Tribolium castaneum: one gene and its partner. The protein of the gene in region 2 purifies or fractionates together with the protein of the main gene of each other region. This does not show direct contact. Links are inferred from orthologs where the notes say so. Each region holds a gene or a part of one and is shown on either strand. Other genes may lie near its edges.

Region 1 (6,313 bases), about 1.2 Mb from region 2:
CTCGTGTTGTTTCACTTACCTTTTCTACACTTTTTTTCTCAGAAAAATTGTTGCCGTGATCCGGGTGCGAACACCCGACCTCCACCGCCGAAAGTGGCGCTTATACCACTCGGCCACCAAGGCCCTGGGTACCGACCGTCTTTTGCAGGTATTTTAACACAAACTTTTTAAATAAATCAACATTACAAACTATATAAATGCAGTAATTCACCTTAAACGCAAATACTTTGTATCACCTTATTAAACTTCTTAGGTAGTAAATTAAATAATTATAAAATTGTCTTGTGCACTGCTACGCGGATAAACGAGGTTCTACTGTAGTCATGTCCTCTTTTTTATTGTCTTGGGAGGAAGGTTTAGATTTTTGTGGAATTTTTCAATGGGAACAGAAACACGATTTTTACCTCCATAATTTTTATTTTTTCAATAGAAATCGATACAGTTATGTTGAAAATTTTTTGGCTGTGCGTTTCCGATAAATCGCAAACAGTTTTTGTTTTGTGCGTAGAAAGGCGTTTATGAACAAAAATAAAATAATCATTGTACTAAAAAAGTAATGTATTAGAGAAATTTACAACTCAAGTGGAATTATGCAATAAATGCCTTGCTGACATGACAATCTCGAGAGCTATTTATCTTTACGTTCATTCAACAGAGAATTGTGCAGCTTTGAAACCTCATTTTCCACAATTTCGTGCACTACACTACCGTTGACGTCCACAAAATTTGCAACACTTTTCTTTAAGCTTGTCTCCCGGAAAGCCCCAGTTTTACCATCTTTAAACGTGAGAACCAGTTTATATTTATCATCGTATCTAAAATAAATAATAAATTACTGTGGTTTTATCTTTGGGACCCACTTTTTTAAATATGAGCTGGCTTCCCATATGTTATCGCTTTTCTGACCGTCCTTCTTCTGCATACATACAGCGAAAATACCCTTTTCTACATACATGGTGTACAACGTTAGAATGCCCATCATTGTGAAATAAGTGCCCACACAAAATATTAATATAGGTCTGAAAAAACGCAAGTATTTATACAGAGGGGTGGATTATTTGAGACTCTTACTTAGAAAGTGGAAAGGGATATAAATAATCCCACAGTAAAGCAAACATGGCAACTCCTACTGCAATACTACAAATTACAAGGCGCCCATCCATCAATTTAAAATTTTCTACGTAATGATACTTTTTAGTAAGTACCTAAAAAATACTATTATAACAATGAACAGGGAGTCACGGGACCTCACTTCTTTTACTGCATCGTCTATGGCATTTTTCACAGCTGAACCGTCCCATTTATTTATTTTAACAGGCTGCAACAATAGGTTATGAAGCCAAATTTACAATTTTTTCCGTATTTAAATAACAAGCGTGCAAATTACGTGTTCATTCATTTAAACTGTACCTTATCATCCTTTTCTTTGCTTTCTTTTGGGGCCATAATCTTAACTGACTGGTTAAATTTTCAATTTTTTATGTGGTGTTGTCGTGTCTTGTTGTTGCGACACGTCAAGTGATGCGTCAGAACACGAAATATGGGAAACGCGAAAATACACCAACATCGGTGAACAAAAGTAACTACGCTTTTTCAAAAGAACGGGTTTTACCAAATATTTTTTTTAAATAACGTTGATTGTTATATCTGCCACTGAAACTGTAAATTCGTTTGGCTATTATTTTTTTCAAGTGGATGATTAATTTAAGTCAGTGAGAGAAAATGCGGGAATTGGGATGGGTATAAGAAAGTTTACGTCAAGTTTATAAAGTAAAGAAATTTATTAATCTTCAAGCATTCCTAATAAATTAATACAATAAATTTGCATTCTTAGGAAATAAAGGCTAAATAACAAAAATTGTAAAGCAAGTGACTTTAGGGTTTTGACTGCTCATCAGAAGGCCCAGCTTCTTCTTCTTCCTTCTTTTTGGCATCAGGTATCCAAAGACCCGCAGCAACACACCTCTTCATGTGATAGTTGGCCTCTTCTTCATCCATTTCCTTGATTGTGTCTTGCAACATTTGGATGTCTTGCGTCTCGAAACATTTTCGTAAATTCTCGGGAAGACTTTCCAAGACTTCAAGCTGATCTAACCCTCCTGGCCCTATCCTCGCTTTCCTCTCCTCCTCCTCTGCTTCTTTTATGGCCTCTTCAATCTTCTCAGCTGCGCGTCGTCTGATCCTCTCCTTAAACTGGTCTAATTCATCGTCAAACGATTTTTTGTAAAGAGGATCAGCTATTTGGATTTTGGAGAAAAAGGGGTCCACGCAGCCGCGAGGGTCGTAGTCTAATTGTTTGGCTAGTTCTAGGATGTACTGCATGCAGATGGTCTGGTGCGCCACGTGCTCCATAAGGTCATGTTTCTAATTAAAAGAACAATACATAATTTACCCCAACAACTCAGTGTTGCCAATATACATTTTTTGCCACAATCTTACCTCTTCCATTTCTAAATTGATGCACCAGATGACGAGGTAATTAGCTGTGTCTTCGCAAACCAATTCAAGGTGGTCCCTGAGAAAAGCCCGAGAGTCTTCATAACGTCGCAACATTCCAAAGTGCTTCAAATTCTTCTCGTTTTCTTTTACAAAATTTTTCATGCGACTTTCCTTCTCTTCATCCGTTAATTGTTCGTCCTTCGGTCTCGGAGCTTTCTTATTAATAACAGTCTTTGCAAAACCTGGCTGACTAATTGTGTCCACATTCCACGGGGCCATCTGTAAATCACTAAATAAACATTAGAAGAACTAACATTCGTACAAACTTTTTCTTTCTTCTCGTGTTCTTCCTGTTTCTTCTTAATCGCTTCCATTTCCTTCTCCAGCGCGGCCAGAGCGTCCTTAAGTTCCCTCAAATTCGCATCTCCGGCCTTCTCGGCTTCCGCCAGCTTCTGCTTGGCTTGCGAGACCTTCTTAGCATTTTCCTCCCTCTTTATCTGGATTTCTTCCGCTTCTTTCTTCATTTCTTCCATGCGCTCAACTCTGGCCTGGTGCCTCCACCGGAAAAGTGAAGGGGTGTCAATATTTGGATGCGTCTCATCCTCATCGTCGGAAATCTGCAAAGCACCACCTAACCTCATTTTTTCCTCCCAGACTTCACTACCTCAATATTCTTCCACTTGCTGTAATCGACCATGACGCCAATGCGAATTTTGATTCCTCCAAGAAAATACAACAATAAAACACTTGCACTTTTGAAATAAACAACAAACGTCACTTTGCTGCTCCTCCGCCCTCTGGCTGGCTTTCGCGAAACGTCGGCAGAGGATCATGGGTAGGGAGACGAGGGCAAATAAAATTCCAGAATATTCTTTCAATCATAATCTAATACTTTAACTTTAAAAACATTGACACGATTAATCTTAAAAATTACTGATATGAAATAAAACATGACAGCATAGTTGGCAATGAAAAAGTACGGTTCGGTTTGTAACAATTGTAACCATGACTACCACCAAAATGCCATATCAAAGTTTCATGGCCAACCGCTCCCTGAAATTTTCGATTAATTACTAATAAATTAGCACATTGATTCGGTCAACTCCAATTTTAACTTGATATTGTCGTTCGATTTAGTAATAAATGGAGAACGTTTTGTGGAACGGCAACTTCTTCTCCACGATTTCCTTGTTATGTTCGCGTCTGAAGTCCCACAAGAAGTGATCGATCAAAATGGCATTGATTTTCGTATCAGTTAGTTTTTTATTGGCATGTTCTTTTAGCAGCTCGACCGCATGGATGGAGCAAGCTCTGATCTCCACTTCGTCCTCTTCCCCGTTTTCGAGAATTTTGTTGTCTTGCAGTTTCTTCTTCAAATCTTCGCTGTACTCAAACACCCCGAAATATAGGAGAGATTGTGGGATTCTATAATCCGCAAACATTGTTATTTCATCGATATCTTTAAAGTGCCCAAGTCCTTCGTTCTTGAAACAGGCCCAAATGTCGCCAATTAAAATCTGCGCCCGCTTGTAAATCGCAATTTTCTTGTCTTTGTAAGTCGCTTCGTCCTTGAAGCACTTGAAATTGTTGACGATTAGGTCCAGAAGGGCCACAGCGCTCTTGTCAGCCTTTTTCACGCAATTTTCAAACGAACCGTCGAAAGTTTCAAGAAGGACGTTCCCAACTTCGTGCAAGCATTTGACGCGTTCCTGGAGGAGTGGAATTGGGACATCGTTGTCGCTTCTGAATATTTTCGCAAGGTCTTTTTCGGACACTTCAGAGTAGTATTTCGAGTTCAAAATATCCACTTTTTCCTTCACGGCTCGATTAATAGCCGCACAAAGGGCAAAATAACCAGTGTAGCCCTCCACAGTCCAGCCAGCTTCGGTTTCTAAGTGCCAGAAGCAAAAATTCAGAGTGTCCACGACAAATAACCAGTCAAGGGCTTTGGGATCGTCGGATTTTGGGTGCAGTTTCACTTGACTGAACTTCTCACTGGACAATTTCCCGCTTTCGATCTCGCTAACCAACTGGAGATAACAGTTAAAATGTGCCTTTTTTCGCCTGATACGCACGGACTTACCAAATCCCCCAGTTTTTTCACACCTTCGTCTTTGATTTTCACGTTTTTGCTAAGCGAAGCAACGAGTTTGCCTGACTCACGAGGTGATAAAGCCATTTTCTCTTGATATGTTGTGAAAACGCGGAGCTTGTAAAATCACAGAACAGTAAAGGTTAAGAAGTGATAATTCCCTAGTAAATCACTGGCAACACGAGAATACAGCGCCTCTGGTGCTGAAGTGCGTTACTACCACGGTAAAGCGCCACGTTTGAATAAATTCCTTTTATATTCTGTTTTTTATTATTTTTATCTTACAAGTTTTATTGCAAATTGTTTAAAATAAAAAAAAATATTTTCATTTTAAACGAAATGAAAACATTTTATATTTATTTTAAACAAAATTTGCAATGAAACTTACAAAAAAAGTTGTTTTGGGGTAATAAAACACAGATTTTGTTAACATTTTTATTGCACACTTGAGTAACATAACAAATTAAATTTTTCAAAAAATTAAAGTATTGTATTATTTCTTAATTATACAAAAATTATCAAAAAATTGAATCAGTCAGTGTTGGCATGTTTTGCCTGTCTGCTCCAGACTTAAAACAAAATAAGGCCTTCTTTGCAATGACTTTTACCTTGTCTGTCAGCAAACAGTTGCCCGCGCTACGACCACGAGGAGGTACATGCAGTGCACTGACACACTCGAGCGCAAATAAGAAACTTAAAAGTAAATTCTGAAATAACCTAAATAGAGAATTCTAAAAAACATCAAAAAACTTAACAAACAATTTTAAACTATATAAATTAAAACAGAAATATTTCCTCCAAAAGAACTATGTACAAATAAATTAAAAAAAAAATACATTTCTTGTTTAAATATATATCTACAAATCACAGCCTTCTATGTACAAATCACAGTCTATTTACAAATCACAGCCTTCGGAATTTTTTCATTTTTTCTATATGACCGGTGGTAACGGATTTTGCTTTCTGCTTGTCTCTTGTGTATTTATATATTAAAAAGGTGGTACACCTATTTAATATTAAATTATCACAGTCGTGAGTCATGCAATAGGCTGGCCCAAAATCAAACTGAGATTTATAAATTTCTTTGAACCTGTCTTCCAACATTGCGTGGTGAGCATAGGTATCAAGGAAACTGTATAAACAGTCATGAATGTTTTGAACAAGCCACATTACATGTTCACTAGCATACTTCAGTCGCCGCTGATTATCGTCAAATTCCTTGAATGAGACTAAGAGATGGTGCTCTGTCGGCTCCTCAGAATATAGTTTATTCTGACAGTTTTCGCAATCAGGAACCTCAATTTCCTTCAATACATAGCCAGCAACATAAGCCAAACCTTGACTGTCTTCACAGCAAAGGTCTGGTTGCTGTAATGTAGAAAAGTCCACTGAAATTTCTGGATGCGATTCCTGCTCTCTTTCCTCATTCCCTGAAAAGTTCAATAATCTCCCCAAGTTTTCCAAAGGCGTGCACTCGTCATCCTCACAATTACCACAGCCTTTTGGTGAAACCAAATTGTTAACAACTACGGTTTTCAAGGCAGCTGTGAACTGGTGGCATGTGGGATTCGTGTTTGCAACACCGTGCTGGCGAATACTACAGAAAAGATTCTCCAAGGGGTCTTGGTTTAGACCCCTCAAGTTCAAAAAATCAAACCCATCGATGTTTTTGAGGTGATTCCATAAAAAAATAATAGACCTGATTGTCGTCTGCCAACCCTTGACGAATGAAAACTGATTGGTACAATCAGTTCCATTTTTCAAATCTATTAGTTTCCAATG
Region 2 (7,019 bases):
TTGTATGTGCCTTTACAACCTTCTCGAGTTGTTAAATGTCCAAAAAAAGTCCATATGTTCGATTTTTTGATGTTTGACTTTTCCAATTTTTCTCGCGATTTTGGTCGATTTCGGTAATCCGGAACATTTATCGAGCAATAACTCAGGAACTATTAGAGATAACCCCATAGTGTATTATCGTTGGAAAGCTCTTTTAATTTTCTATACTTTTCAAAAAAGATCTTTGTTCTAGGACTAATAGTTTTTGAGAAAATTGCAAATAAAAGCAAAAATAGGTAAAATTTAAAAAAATTCATAAATAAAAAACTGTTGGAAATTTCGCAAATTTCTCGATGCCAATCGATTCCCCGGATCATTTTGTATAGGCAAGGATCAAAAAAGTTCCACTTTTTTGAATAGTTTAGCCATAATTGAGAAAATTTAAAAAAATTAAAAAAAGTTTAAAAACACCCCCCCGTTAAAAATGGCTAATTATAAAAGGGTCTCCAAACCAAATAAAACCGATCCTATCTTATAGATTTTGATGTGCTCTTTACGATGAAAAAAAGCGTTTTCTCCTAACTCTTTTAGTTTGACCGTAATCGACGTTTGAAAACTGAAAAAATTTTTGCCTTTAAACCTGTGCCATTTTGTAGTTTTTTATTCCGGTTTTCCTCGATTTTTCCGTGTTCTAGGACTCATTTTACATTTTATATCGATTTTTCACAAAAAATTTAAGCCATTTTCCATAGTGAAAAATTTTATTCAACAAAAAAATTCATGACTCAAAAATTAAAAGTCGTAGAGCAAAACGGTTTGCTCCAGTGATTCAGCAGTTCATTTTCTGGTATCTTTCTTTTGGACACAGGTCTAGATATACTCAATTAAAAAATCGTAATTACCGATTCGTTCAAAAATGGCGTGTGCCTTATCTTGAATCTTGACAAGATCGTCTAGCAACTCCTCGTGGTTTTGGCGGGTCTCGCCTCTTTGTTTTTCAAGATTCTTGCTTGAATCTTCCAACCGGCGCTGTATCTTGTGCGTCATTTGCACCAATTGGTTGTGAGTATCAACGATCAACTCTTTCTCTTGTGATAGCTTGCGGATATTATCTTCCAAGACCAGCTGGCCGTGGAACTGGGCTCTTTGGATATCTCGCTGCTGATTGGTCAAAATCTCGTGACCTTGCGCTAACGAACTGAGCGTTTGTTCAGCAATGTCGTGCAGATCTTGCTGATTTTCCGCGATTTTCCCGAGGGTTTTGAGTTGGTCTCGGGCCGTGTCCATGAGTCTGTTTATGGAGTGTTCTGCCATTCCGCGGAACTGCATTTGTCTGATGGTGTAGCAGACGGCTCTTGCACGGTTACTCATGAGGTGGTAGCTCGTCCACGTGTCCGAGTCCATGCTTCCGGTGCAGTCGCGGATGCTCATGTCATCGGTGCAAGGAAAAATAGGGCGCCCTTCAACGTACGATTGGCAGTTTAGGAGATGTACTGCCATTTTAGCCAGCTGCTCGTCGTTCATCTTATCGCAATCAGAGCGTAGCTTCAGTACCACCTGTTCTAGATAAGTTAGTAAGGGTTGCAAATACAAAAAACCATATTTACTCTTTGCTGGCATGAATCTAGCTCTGATAAAGCTACACCTGTGAGCTTGGCTGCCTCTGATATGAATTTTTCATCGACTGTGGACACTTCGTAGGGAATTCGTTGGACGAATTCACCGACAGAATCACTTTCGGGTTCGGTGAACGTAAAATAACTTCCTATTGTTTTTACATAATCGGTGAAACCTGTCTGAACTTGCCAAGTTTTGAAGAAAAGTAAAATTAACACTAAAATAAAACTAGTACAACTGGGGAACTTCATGGTGAATAAATAATGACTAGGGATTTGGAAAACTTAACGGAAAGTGATTGTATTTGGCGAAATTTAGCTTTTTATCACTGATTTTAAATTCATTGTTGACAGGTGTCAACTGTCAATAATAACCGTTGATTCTTTTTTTTTCCATGTGCTGACATCTAGAACAGATGAAAATAAGGCACTGTGCGACTTTTATTACGCAATTATTTATTTAAAATTACCCCTTCCTAATAACTTAGGCTAAATTTAAAACTAGGACAGTGTATATTTATTTAAACTAAACATTTATAGACCACTATTTTTTCAAACAATCAACGCGCCATCTACGGGCGAGACTTGCAGTTTCATCAAGTATATAATTTTTATGATAAATTACCCTACTTTCCGAAGCATAACACCAATTTGGCTTATTTGAGTAAAGTTTTAATTATCTTAAAGTCATAACTTAAGACGCAAAAAGTTTAAAAATAAATTTTATGCAATTGTGGCGTATCTACGACTTGCGTCGGTTCGTCTCTCTCTTTTTAGCTTATAAAATAGACAAAGACGCTGAGCAGACGCCTGTTGGTGATTGGGCCAGATTTCCCGAGTTTGAAAATAAAGATGGCAGTCGTGCCTCAAGGGGGCGAAATGTCAAAGTGCGGAATTTTTCTCTAAAAATCAAATTTCCCGTGTGTTTTTTGTGTTGATTCTTCTCCGAGTGCCCTGCTGAGGGTGCCGTCCCTCCACGCGGTACAAAATGTCCGTACGCGCCGTCGGCAGCCGCTTATTTAAACATGGTAGAAGTCTTATCCAACAATTCTGTAAAAGAGACCTTAATACCACAATTGGCGACAAAATTAATGCCGTTTCACAAGCAACAGCAGCCCCGTCTTCGTTGCCCAAAACCCAGATACCCAAGAATTTTGCGCTGAGAAATGTGGGGGTCCAGTTGGGGCTGCAGGCGAGGCGGATTCTGATCGATAATGTGCTTAATAGGGTCACCAACAGCCTTTCGGCCGAGCTGAGGAAGAAGGCCACCAGAAGGTAAGGATAACAATATTAAAAAAATCAAAGTTGGCTGTGACAATCAGTGACATTGCATAAACAAAAATGTGAATTTTTGCTTTTTTTTCTTAATTATTAGCAATTTACGAAAGGCAGAGTGTTAATTTAATTGTGATTTATTATCATCATTTAAAAAACCACATTTAAAAGTGGTGCTTTTTTGTGTTTTTATTTAACGCAGGATGGCTTCAAGGCCTTCTTTGATTTTAATTCAGTTTAGGATAATTGCTGGTAATTCATTTGTTTTAATAGTTACGTCGATACATAACATAAAATTCTATTGTTATAACTTAATTACATTTTCAGTAAACACAATTTTGATAAGACTTGTATTAGGAATTTGAGCTTTAATTTTTTATTCAAGCTAATTTTATCTTTGATGCAACAATCAAACGTGCTATGTAATCACGCTTTATTTATACATATGTATAATGCTATATGTGGGCGTGGTCACGGTGGGCGTGTCTGAACTTTTTCATTTTCCAGGATCTTATTCGGCGACTCCGCCCCGTTTTTTGCCCTAGTGGGCGTGAGCATAGCTTCCGGTACCGGAATTTTAACCAAAGAAGAGGAACTTGAAGGTGTGTGTTGGGAAATTCGCGAAGCCATCTCGAAAATCAAATGGCAGTATTACGACATCGACGAAAGCCGATTCGAATCGAACCCGATCACTTTAAACGATCTCTCATTGGGCAAACCGATAGCCAAAGGCACCAATGGCGTGGTTTATTCAGCTAAAGTGAAAGACGACGAAACCGACGACAACAAATACCCATTCGCGCTGAAAATGATGTTCAACTACGACATCCAATCAAATTCTATGGAAATCCTCAAGGCCATGTATCGCGAAACGGTTCCTGCGAGGATGTATTACAGCAACCACGATTTGAACAATTGGGAAATCGAGTTGGCCAATCGGCGGAAACATCTGCCACCGCATCCCAATATCGTTGCCATATTTTCCGTTTTTACTGATTTAATCCAAGAATTGGAGGGTAGTAAGGACTTGTACCCCGCGGCTCTGCCCCCGAGACTCCACCCCGAGGGCGAAGGCCGGAACATGTCGCTGTTCCTCCTTATGAAACGCTACGATTGCAACTTGCAAAGTTTCCTCTCAACAGCTCCATCAACCCGCACATCGCTCCTCCTACTCGCCCAGTTGCTAGAAGGCGTGGCTCATATGACAGCTCACGGCATAGCACACCGCGACCTCAAATCCGATAATTTGTTACTCGACACCAGCGAACCCGAAAGCCCCATTTTAGTCATCAGCGACTTTGGGTGTTGTCTTGCTGATAAAACCAACGGGTTGTCGCTCCCTTACACGAGCTATGAGATGGATAAGGGTGGCAACACTGCATTGATGGCCCCCGAAATTATTTGCCAAAAACCGGGCACTTTCAGCGTCTTGAATTATTCCAAAGCCGACTTGTGGGCCGTAGGAGCCATAGCTTACGAGATTTTCAACTGTCATAACCCATTTTATGGCCCAAGTCGGTTGAAAAACTTTAATTACAAGGAGGGGGATTTACCGAAATTGCCCGACGAGGTGCCAACTGTGATTCAAGCCTTGGTGGCCAATCTCCTGAAGCGCAATCCCAATAAGGTTGGTAATGATTTTTTTGTTTTTCATTAAGGGTAAATTATTTTTCAAAATAGCGTCTCGATCCGGAAGTTGCGGCCAACGTTTGTCAGTTGTTTTTGTGGGCACCTAGCACGTGGCTAAAGCCGGGCTTGAAAGTACCAACAAGTGGCGAGGTGATTGTCTTTTGTTTAGGTAAAATAGCAATCGTCATTCGTTTGTTTTTAGATTTTGCAGTGGTTGTTGAGTTTGACGACGAAGGTTTTGTGCGAGGGCAAAATCAATAATAAGAGTTTTGGGGAGAAATTTACAAGGAATTGGAGGAGGACGTATCCCGAGTATTTGTTGATTTCTAGTTTTTTGTGTAGAGCTAAGTTAGCAAATGTTAGAAATGCGCTTCACTGGATTCAGGAAAATCTTCCCGAACTTGATTAAACTTAAGGCTATTTATTGCGAGGTCGAGGGCTGTTTTAGTTAGACACATGAGACTGCTAGATTGTGATTATGGTTAGTGTTTCTTTCTATAGATTCGGTTTTATAGAAATAAAAACACTTGATTTGTACATTACTGCTATTACTCACTGAAATATATATTTGGGTTTAAGAAAAGTCGTTTCAATCGTTCAACAATTTAATGGTAATAGAAATTTGGTAACAATGAACAAAATTACTGGCAAATCACTTTAAACAACAACAATAAGTTAATAAAAATACAAACGACACAGAAGAGTAAGATCCACAAGCCAGCGGTTCCTGTCGCGTCCGAAATGAAGTTTTCTTTTTTCATCAGCTTGTTCTTGTGTTTGATGCCTGTAACGTCTCTCATCATTTCGAAACTCAACATTTGACTTACTGTTCAAGTGGATGTTTAGCTGAATTTCGCTGTTTGCGACGACATCGCACAATTCACAAACGAATGTTTTTCCTTGTCTCTCTTCCTTCATTTTGTGCCTTCGCCCTTCCAAATGGCGCTGAAGGATCTTCACACTGGTGACTTTAACATTACATAATTCGCACGAAAGGGCCTAAAAAATCAATCACTAATTTGCTTCCCTCAAACTGGCTCACATTTTTATCGCTGTTTTCTTCATTTTTCTCGTTTAATTGCACTTCTTCGATCGAATTATGGAATTCGGACATTTTCGCACGTTCGCATGCCGCCGCAAACGCTATCACCTGACTTTTTCAAACTTTTTTTCCGACTTTATCTTCCTCGACCTCGTCAGTGTTTCAAAGCCGGTCAAGATGAACGCAGGTCTTTACGCCGACGGTGCTCAAGTCCAAAATTTCCATTTTGACGATCCTCTCAGTCGAGAATTGTTCGATTTTGAGATTCTCTGCGCCCACGGCAGTGTGTGCGTTCATAAACTTATTTTAATGACCCGAAGCCTCTATTTTCGCCAGTTGTTGGAGAACCAGGTAGCCATCAGGGAAATTACTTTAGAAGAGTTCAGCCAGGATGTGATGAGAAAAGTCGTACGCCTGATCTACGGAGATATTGTGAGGGTCCCTGAACTGCAAGTCGAAGAGTTTGTGAAGATTTTGCACTTTTTGAGAGTCGATTATTGGGCCAAGTTCAACAGATTGTTGATGGATGGGGGCGATTTAGGTGAGAAACGACAAAAAACGGAAATTTTATCTAAATTTAAAAGTTTCAGCTGCCATGGCTTCGACTCCGGACATCTCCACTGAAACGGAACCCTCAACTACGGACGACCTGGGCAGCAGGAGGTCCGGAGACGGCGATTCCATGGCTCTTACTGAATAACGATTTTTGTGCCTATCGAGTTTTTCAATAAAGGTTTCGAATTCAGCATTTCAGTCGTAGTTTTTTTACGTTCCTTCTTTCATTGAAAAAATTCAAGGCTAATTTTAAATTGCCTCCTTTTTGCCAACGCAAAAAATATCCCTAAAGAAATTTTCACAAATAATTTGTTGCCTTCCAAGCAACTAAATCAAGGTAAATAGTAATACGTTACATTCCAAATACTCGAATTTAATTTTTTTATCGAGTTTTGGTCAAAAAAAATAATTTTTTACTACAGCAAACTACCAATGTAACAAATCCGAAACCTCTAGATTTGTTTGGGTCGCATTTGTTGTTAAAGGGAATATTTAAAAAACCTCAATAAAATGACTAACTCAAGCATTAAGGACGAAGACGTGGACACGACGAACCTCCTCAAGAGTCGCGAGTTCCTCTACCGCCTCATTATTAGGTAAAACACCCAAAACCGGCAACCTAACCTAAATTTTTCCCTTCAAGCCAACTCTTCTATGACGGCCACCAAAGCATCGGCACTAATCTCACGGCCGCAGTCCAAGCGGACCCTCCGTGTGCCCCCAGTGACCGTCTTTTTCATATTGTCATGGCCGGGTTAGAACATGAGCCTGACCGTAAGGAGAGACCCCAAAACCCCGGCATAGGGAACAATAATATCGGTCCGGGGCTTGATCTCGAATTTGAGACTGAGTCAAATATCCCAGCGCCCGAACCCGCATTGTATGAAACTGCGTACGTGACGTCACATAAAGGGAATTGTCGT

The links.
Region 1: the proteins of Pink1 (region 2) and Cdc37 purify together in Homo sapiens (affinity purification with mass spectrometry; 6 studies listed by BioGRID and IntAct, with this or other methods). This does not show direct contact. The link is inferred for Tribolium castaneum from reciprocal best matches to the Homo sapiens genes PINK1 and CDC37.

Annotation. Positions count from the first base shown.
Region 1 is NC_087398.1:2,271,163-2,277,475, reverse strand, and holds Cdc37 (hsp90 co-chaperone Cdc37), read right to left. Parts: upstream 3,264-6,313; 5' UTR 3,137-3,263; coding exon 3,104-3,136; intron 3,057-3,103; coding exon 2,766-3,056; intron 2,719-2,765; coding exon 2,440-2,718; intron 2,365-2,439; coding exon 1,876-2,364; 3' UTR 1,763-1,875; downstream 1-1,762. Other genes in the region: Spase25 (signal peptidase complex subunit 2), read right to left, coding at 629-815, 861-1,019, 1,072-1,205, 1,253-1,318, 1,411-1,446; queuosine 5'-phosphate N-glycosylase/hydrolase, read right to left, coding at 3,573-4,469, 4,523-4,618. UniProt on the Homo sapiens protein: Co-chaperone that binds to numerous kinases and promotes their interaction with the Hsp90 complex, resulting in stabilization and promotion of their activity. Inhibits HSP90AA1 ATPase activity.
Region 2 is NC_087398.1:3,463,499-3,470,517, forward strand, and holds Pink1 (serine/threonine-protein kinase Pink1, mitochondrial), read left to right. Parts: upstream 1-2,397; 5' UTR 2,398-2,583; coding exon 2,584-2,870; intron 2,871-3,377; coding exon 3,378-4,497; intron 4,498-4,550; coding exon 4,551-4,649; intron 4,650-4,701; coding exon 4,702-4,908; 3' UTR 4,909-5,140; coding exon of another isoform or gene 5,141-5,283; 3' UTR 5,284-5,326; coding exon of another isoform or gene 5,327-5,498; 3' UTR 5,499-5,541; coding exon of another isoform or gene 5,542-5,613; 3' UTR 5,614-6,082; intron 6,083-6,131; 3' UTR 6,132-6,294; downstream 6,295-7,019. Other genes in the region: protein brambleberry, read right to left, coding at 882-1,536, 1,587-1,847; zinc finger protein 346, read right to left, coding at 5,141-5,283, 5,327-5,498, 5,542-5,613; CstF50 (cleavage stimulation factor subunit 1), read left to right, coding at 6,607-6,692, 6,740-7,019. UniProt on the Homo sapiens protein: Serine/threonine-protein kinase which acts as a sensor of mitochondrial damage and protects against mitochondrial dysfunction during cellular stress.